2 linked regions of the Callithrix jacchus genome follow. The protein of the gene in region 2 interacts with the protein of the main gene of each other region in a pairwise test. Links are inferred from orthologs where the notes say so. Each region holds a gene or a part of one and is shown on either strand. Other genes may lie near its edges.

Region 1 (4,320 bases), on a different chromosome or scaffold from region 2:
TCACACACTAAAACTCTAAAGAAATGTTTGATTTAAAATACAGAAGACCCTAGAAGAAGCTATTTTTTCCCTTCTAGCTTAAGTCAAGCCTAGTGTGCTGTGACTGTACCTTTTACATGAGCCGTTAACTATCTTAGTATCAAAATGGTGAAGTTATCACTGTACTGCTTCCTACTCAATCATCTTGCATATTGATAATTTTGTACCCGTGTCTCCATGATGGAAGATCTTGTGTTATACACCACCAAATTTTAGCAAATTAGTTATAATACTCTAATACTTTAATATGTGATGAATAAAAAGGCAGAAAACTCAGAATTACAATAAACATCAGGCTATTTCAGAACACCAGTTTTTCACACCTAATTTCTTAGCATACAGCAGTTCAAAAACCATACATTAAGCATAGTTTGAATTGTCCTGAAGTTATATTCTGAAGGGTTTGTAACACTTAAAAACTGACAATGTTAAAAAGGCAAAAGCATTATAACTCATAGACAGCACACAAGACTTTTACTTCATCAACAAAATGTGAGAATGTCAATGTTTTATTTGCTACAAGGATAAGGAGGAAAACAGCAAAATAAATTTGATAAGATTTACACTTTATTACAAGTGATTTTCCTAAAACTCACAACTTTCACAATTGGCTGCGTGAAACGGAGAGAGAAAAATAAGGGAACTTTCACTAGTATTAAGTAGGCCAACTCACATGATCCCTCCAAATGAGTTTAAATGAGAACGAGTACATTTTTTTCTAGCTGGGAAAATATTTTCCTTAATTGAGTTTAAATAATTTACCCATAGTGATGAATAAGCCCTTGGGCTAGGCTCAGAAACCTCCTCTACCAGCCTGTTTCATAAGAATTAAAAAAATATTTATGGAACATCCATGAAATATATATATATACTTTTTTTTTTGGTTGTAATAGTAGAGACAAGAATTTTTAAAAATCCATACTATTTCTCTTTCTGGTCTCTTTCACCTAAATGCACCTTCTGAGTTTCTTAGGTATGCTTTACAAAGACTATTTTACTTAATGGATTCATGTGTTCATCAACTTTAGCACCCTATGTGTGTGTTAAGAGTAATGAGAGCGGGGCTATTTAAACTGCTTCCTCTTAGCCTTCCCATTCATTACCAGTAGCAAAGTTTACTTAGAAAACAATGAAGAAGAAGTACCATAGCCCACAGGCACCTAGGAATGGGGAATTAATTCAGACTGAGAAAATATGGCTCTGGAGAGATACTAAAGTCGTATTGGAAATTTATGAAGTTTAAATGAACCCTTTCTCCCCAGCTTCAGACTTAGATAAGGTGTGAGATGTCAGGGATGTACATGGACCCTTGAAAAACTGGTATTTTCATCCGTGTTCTTCCCCCTTCCCTCCCCTGCGAGACAAAATATACGGAAATACAAGTGCTTGGTACTACACGCTTTTGAGGCTTAAAAGCCCAGTAATAAGCACGCTGTATCCGTTGTTGAGGGGGATCACTTTTTAAATAAACATCACCAGAAGAATCTCTTCAAAGGGAGAATGAAGTCACTCTCCCTCCCCGGAGGCTATGAGGGAAAAGGGAGACAGATATTTCCCCTACTTGCACGTGGGATCTCCCTTTTTCTGCCTTGGGAGGTAGCTGAGAGAAAAGGCAACGCTCAGTCCTCCATGGCAAAGTCTTTGGTCTTCTCCTCCTGGTCTCCCACTTTGTAGCGCAGCAGCACGCGCAGGCGACGGGGGTTGTCCCGGGAGGGCAGCAGCGTGATCTCTCCTGATACGTCCGTGTCTTGCTCCACTTGCACCGGCTCGTTCAGGTAGAGGAGCGCCTGTTTCCAGTGCGTGGCCGGGTGAAAAGGCGAGGTGGACAGCACCAGGGGTTTCTCCGACTCCCCTCCAGGGAAGGTCACCTGGAACCAGATGGCAAAGCCGTGCATGGGCGCCGAGCCATAGCAGCTGCAGCGGAAGCGCCCGCCCACTCCGGCCTCCAGCTCCTGCTCCAGGCCAGCGCGGGAGAGCTCTAGCTGAGCAAAGCGCTGCGGCCGGGCCAGCACGTCCTCGCCGGACAGTCCCTGTACCACGATCTCCGAGTGGCCCATGAGGCAGCGCGTGGCGAAGCCCTCCAGGCAGCTCATGTCCACACCATAGTGCTGCTTCACCTGGCTCCAGAAGCCCAGGCGCCATTCCAGCATCTGGTCGCTGATGGGGGCTATGAAGAGCTCGGCGGAGGCCGGTAGGAGAAGACCGCCTTCCTTCAGCCACTTGGTTCGCGCGTGGAGGACGGACCTCAGCATGGACTCGTGCAGGAGGCCGTATCCCATCCACTCGCTCACGATGGCATCCACCTGCTCCGGCAGCTCCACAGTCTCCACCGGTCCCGGCAGGACGTGCACTCGGTCCTCCAGCCCGTTGAACCGCACCACCTCCCGGGCCTGTTGCCAGATGGCGCTGGCCTCTACCGCGTACACGCGCCGGGCGCCGGCCTGGGCACAGAAGATGCTCAGAATGCCGGTGCCCGCTCCCACGTCCAGTACCGTCTTGCCTCTCAGTGCTGCCCAGTTCCGCAGGATGCCCAGGCGGTAGGCATCGGTGCGGACACGGTCTGCGATCATCTCCTCGTGGACCGAAACGTCTGAGTAACACTCGTAGTACAGCTGGTCCCGCTCCCGCTTAGTCCTCCGGGGTCGCTCCAGGGCCGCCTCCCGCTCCGCGCCATCTTCCTCTTCAGTTCCCTCCCCTCCTTCGCCGCCGCCCCCCGACTCAAGCTTTCTTTTCTTGGGCTGCGACATCTTGGCCGCCCCGGCCGGCTCCCGGCGTGCGTAGCGCGCCACGGCACGGGCTCCAGGAAACGGGGGATTCTGGGACTTGTAGTGTGCGCTCGTCCTTCCCACTTCCTGCGGGGTCCCCTGACCGGAGGGCCGGAGTGTCTCCCCGGTGCCTGCCCACGGGAGCTGTTTTGTACTGCTCTTCTGGTGTCCTGGAATCCCTTTTCCCACCCACCATACCCACATTCTGAGATCCTTTCATTCCCCCTCCAACCCTTATCACTTTGTTGTTTTCATTCCCTTCCTGAAGTCGACACGCCCACTCGAGACTAATAATCCACCTTTCTCTGCTCAATTTATCTTCACCTTTGGTTTTTTTGTTTGGTTGGTTTTTGAAACTGAGTTTCGCTCTTGTTGCCAGGCTGGAGTGCAATGGCACGATCTCGGTTCACCTCAACCTCCGCCTCCCTCCCGGGTTCAAGAGATTCTCCTGCCTTAGCCTCCTGAGTAGCTGGGATTACAGGCATGCACCATTACGCCCGGCTAATTTTGTATTTTTAGAAAAGACAGGATTTCTCCATGTTGGTCAGGCTAGTCTGGCACCCCCGACCTCGGGTGATCCACCTTCCCCGGGATCCCAAAGCGTTGGGATTACAGGTATGAGCCACCACGCCCAACCTAACTCACCTTGGTTTTATTCCACCGACTATGGCGGCACCATCCACCCACTACCGCCTTAGCAGGACAATTGTAGCTCTTAAAGTGCTCCAGATGTGGAAATTATCGAAATTGCACTACGCATTTCTCTTTTCTGTTTTCAGTGGAGTTAGGGTGCAAATGTAACAAAATAAAAAACCTAGCAGTACAAAATCTGGGTTCTGATTCCAGTATGACTACTAATTAGTCGAGTGATTTAGGGCAAGAAATAGAACTCTGGCCTTCAATTGCCCATTCACCCACTAATGAATCTTCATTGCAGTTGGGGAAGAATTATGTTTCTGGTTATACTTAGAAAAATAGTTATTGGCTTTCGACTCTGCTCTGATATTCTGTGTGGCTCACTCAAGAGTTAAATCCTGAAAAGTGCAGACTAAAGAGCCATGTGATCAAAGCAAACTCGTTGCTAGGTGTATTTTTCTCTCGCTACGTATATATGTGCGTGTGTGTGTGTATTTTTTTTCCTCTCAGAAATAACAGAATCCATTTCTGTTGATCACTTTTTCAATGCAACTCATTTTTTCCAGTGTTTGTCTGGAAATGTTGACACTCTCCTCTTCCTCTTCTATTTCTCTTAAAGCCAACCATCAACTGTTATTCTTTGTTGTTTAAAATAAATTTTAAAATATGCGTGGCATCTATATGAGTGTCTGTGTTATGAACAAGGTGGGCATAATACCATTTTCTCCCAGCTTAAAAAAAAAATCACACAGAAGAAAACTGACTTTTTTTTTTTTCTCGTGGTCTAGAATTATGTCCTTGTAGCCAATGGGCCTGTATTCCTTGTCTGGGATGAAAGTTCTTTTATCCTATTTTCTCTGTTAATCTTTCAGTAACAGTA
Region 2 (3,815 bases):
ATCTGGGCCTGGGATTATGCCTGTAATCCCAGCACTTTGGGAGGCCGAGACAGGTGGATCACCTGAAGTCAAGAGTTCGAGAATGGCCTGGCCAAACCCTGTCTCTACTAAAAATACAAAAATTATCCGGGGTGGTGATATGTGCCTGTAATCCCAGCTACTCAGGAGGCTGAGACAGGAGGATTGCTTGAACCTGGGAGGTGGAGGTTTCAGTGAGCCAAGATTGTGCCACTGCACTCCAGCCTACGTGACAGAACACGACTCCAAAAAAGAAAAAGAAAAGAAATACTTAATCTGTATTTAGATTTCCTAAAATGTTAAAAAAGTAGATTTATATACCCAAGAGTATTCCAGACATACTTAAAATTTACCAATAACTGAATTATTGATTTTTAAATCTAAATGTAATTAAATAAAACTTAAAATTCATTTCATTTGTACTAGCCACATTTTAGGTCCTCAGCAGCCATCTATAACTTGTGTCTACCATTTTGAACAGCACAGGTTTAAAATTCTCACAGGAAGGCAGGACCTCAGGGATTATCTCTTTCTTAATAGGCACTAGGGAGGGCATTAGGAGTTGAGAAGGCTGCATTCTGGCTTTACTAATAGTCTTACTAGCTGAGTGACCATAAACCAATAATTTTATTTCATGGTGCCTTCAACAAATAGGTATTGCCCCTGCACTGCCTCAATCACAGAGATTTATATGAGGGTGGAATAAAATAGATTTGAAAGAAGCATATAAATGATGAGACTCCATAAAATAAGAAATCCTCACTCCAGAGTCCTTTCCACTCATGATACCTCTGCTTCTTGAGATGGTTCAAGTGTTAGCCAGTCTGATGTCAAGCCTGGAAAAACTACAAGATGATAATAAAGATCTCCCAATTCCTTTAGGACAAGAATTACTCTATATGTCTTGATGTTCCCTTCTGAGGTAAGAAGCCGCCTTACACTAGCTGGCTGTTGGAGTTCTGCTCTTGGTGACCAGTGTATAATCTCTCATCTAGGTTTTTAGGATGATTGAAGAACGCCCCACATATGCCATCACTGTGCGTGTTTCCTACTTGGAAATCTATAATGAGAACCTGTTTGATCTCCTGTCCACTCTGCCCTATGTTGGACCCTCAGTCACGCCAATGACCATCGTGGAAAACTCTCAAGGGGTCTTCATTAAGGGCTTGTCAGTCCACCTCACAAGTCAGGAGGAGGATGCATTCAGCCTCCTTTTTGAGGTGAGATAACAAAACCTAAGTGTTCTTTTGCTTCTCCCCTTTCCTTTCTCCTTCTCAGTTTTTCTTTTTTTTCTTTTTTGAGACAAGATCTTGCTTTATCTCCAACGCTAGATTATACTGGCATGAACATGGCTCACTGCAGCCTCGACATCCTGGGCTCAAGTGCTCCTCCTGCCTCAGCCTCCCAAGTAGCTGGGACCACAGGCACTGCTATCATGCCCACTTAAATTTTTTTTTTTTTTTTTGTAGAGACAAGGTCTTACCATGTTGCCCAGACTGGTCTTGAACCCCTAGGCTCAAGCGGTCCTCCCACCTCAGCCTCTCAAAGTGCAGGGATTAAGGCAAGCCACTGTGACCAGCCAGTTTTTTTACTTACTTTGATTATCAGAATGAATTAATATATGCACATTAGGAAAGTTTGGATAGTGCTAAAAAATATATAGGAACAAAAAAGAATTTCATTTCCTTTTCCTTTCCAGTTCCATAAATAAAAAGAAAAAGAAAAAAATGTTTCATGCATAATCTGTTTTTTACACAAGGCAACAATAATGTATATTTTAGCTTATTTCCTTCCAGTCTTTTTTCCTGTGCAGTTTTTTTCTTTACATAGTTGTATTATTCTTATGTCCCTTTTTTCCAGTTAATATTAAGTTATGAGCTCTTTTGTGGAGAACATAAAAATTAGCATCCTTAGTATAAGGCCTCCAAAAGCTCTTGGAGGCCGGGCACCGTGGGCTCACACCTGTAATCCCAGCACTTTGGGAGGCCAAGGTGGGTGGATCACTTGAGATCAGGAGTTTGAGAGCAGCCAGACCAACGTGGTGAAACCCTGTCTCTACTGAAAATACAAAAATTAGCTGAGAGTGGTGGCACACACCTGTAATCCCAGCTACTCAGGAGGCTGAGGCCGGAGAATTGCTTGAACCTGGGAGGCAGAGATTGCAGTGAGCTGAGATCGCACCATTGCACTCCAGCCTGGGCGACAGAGCAAGGCTGTCTCAAAAAAATAAATAAAAGCTCTTAGAAACCAGTCAAATGGGCTGGGCACAGTGGCTCATGCCTGTAATTCCATCACTTTGGGAGGAGGCCAAGGCAGGCAGATCACTTGAGCTCATGAGTTCGAGACCAGCCTGCGTAACACAGTGAAACCCCGTCTCTACCAAAAATACAAAAATTAGCCAGGCATTGTTAGCACTTTGGGAGGCTGAGGTGGGAGGATACACTTGAGCCCAGGAGGTAGAGGTTGCAAGTGAGCTGAGATCACGCCACTGCACTCCAGCCTAGGTAATAGAGCAAGACTCAAAAACAAGAAAGAAAGAAATCAATCAAGTGTATGTTATTCTTTTAGAAGTCATGTAGGCTGGGAACTCTCTTTTTTTTTTTTTCGAGGTCTTGCTGTGTTGCCCAGGCAATGGGCATGTGTGCAGTGGCTATTCACAGGCATGATCATAGCGCCATCTCACAACATAGCAACTTACTTCCTCAACATCAATAGCAGGATATTTTTTAAAGGGTCAGAAAGACAAGGCAAGGCCAAGCGTGGCAGCTTATGCCTGTAATACCAGAATTGAGAGGCCGGGGCAGGCGAATCACTGGAAGTCAGGAGTTTGAGCCTAGCCTAGCCAACACAGTAAAACCCTCTCTCTACTAAAAATAAAAAATAAAAATAAAAAACAAAAAGAAAGACAAGGCAAAATCGTCCTTCAGAAGGGGTATGAAGAATAAAGGTGAATGACTGGATGTGGTGGCTCATGCCTGTAATCCCAGCACTTTGGAAGGCTGAATCAGGAGGATTGCTTGAGCTTAGGAATTTGAGACCCGTGCAGGCGACACAGCGGAACCCTGTGTCTACAAAAAATATAAAAATTAGCTGGGCATGGCGGCCTGCACCTGGGGTTTTAGCTGCTTGGGAGGCTGAGAAAGGAGGATCACTTAAGCCTGGGAGGTGGAGTTTGCAGTAAGCCAATATCACACCCCTGCACTCTAGCCTGGACAACAGAGTGAGACTGATCTCAAAAAAAAAAAAAAAAAAAGATAGAAAGGTGAAGTGACCCCTTATATTCTTGGTGAGTGTCACTGGATTTGCAGAACCGGCCTGACCACAGACTATAGCCTCGTTGCTCTAAGCTATAGAGGTATAGCCACAGGGGTCTGCTAGGCTTGCTCCATAGCCTCAGTCAGTCCTTCCCTCTTTAGCAGGTGCTCTCCTCTCCCCAGGGTGTGCTGTTCCCCACCCCCACTTTGGGGCTCGTTCATAGCATTTCTCATCAGCATTGAAAGATACATCAGTCTATCCCTCAAGGACCTTTTTCTCTGAGAACAGCCATTTCCACCACATTCCTTTTTAAGTATATTCTGGTCATAAGGCCCACTCCTGTAAATTAGAGGCAAGGGCCTACTGTCCCTTTAAAAATACAAATTAATAGTTCAGATACAGTGGCTCATGCATGTAATCCCAGTATTTTAGGAGGCCGAGGTGAGCAGATCTCTTGAACTCATGAGTTCCAGACCAGCCTTGGTACATGGTGAAACCCTGTCTCTACAAAAAATACAAAAATTAGCCAGGTATGTTAGTGG

The links.
Region 1: the proteins of KIF9 (region 2) and PRMT6 interact in a two-hybrid assay, tested with the Homo sapiens proteins (2 studies listed by BioGRID and IntAct). The link is inferred for Callithrix jacchus from reciprocal best matches to the Homo sapiens genes KIF9 and PRMT6.

The regions. Positions count from the first base shown.
Region 1 is NC_133508.1:139,159,864-139,164,183, forward strand, and holds the start of PRMT6 (protein arginine N-methyltransferase 6), read right to left. Parts: upstream 2,810-4,320; 5' UTR 2,787-2,809; coding exon 1,659-2,786; 3' UTR 1,601-1,658; intron 1-1,600. UniProt on the Homo sapiens protein: Arginine methyltransferase that can catalyze the formation of both omega-N monomethylarginine (MMA) and asymmetrical dimethylarginine (aDMA), with a strong preference for the formation of aDMA.
Region 2 is NC_133516.1:29,928,340-29,932,154, reverse strand, and holds part of KIF9 (kinesin-like protein KIF9), read left to right. Parts: intron 1-1,013; coding exon 1,014-1,238; intron 1,239-3,815. UniProt on the Homo sapiens protein: Essential for normal male fertility and for progressive motility of spermatozoa.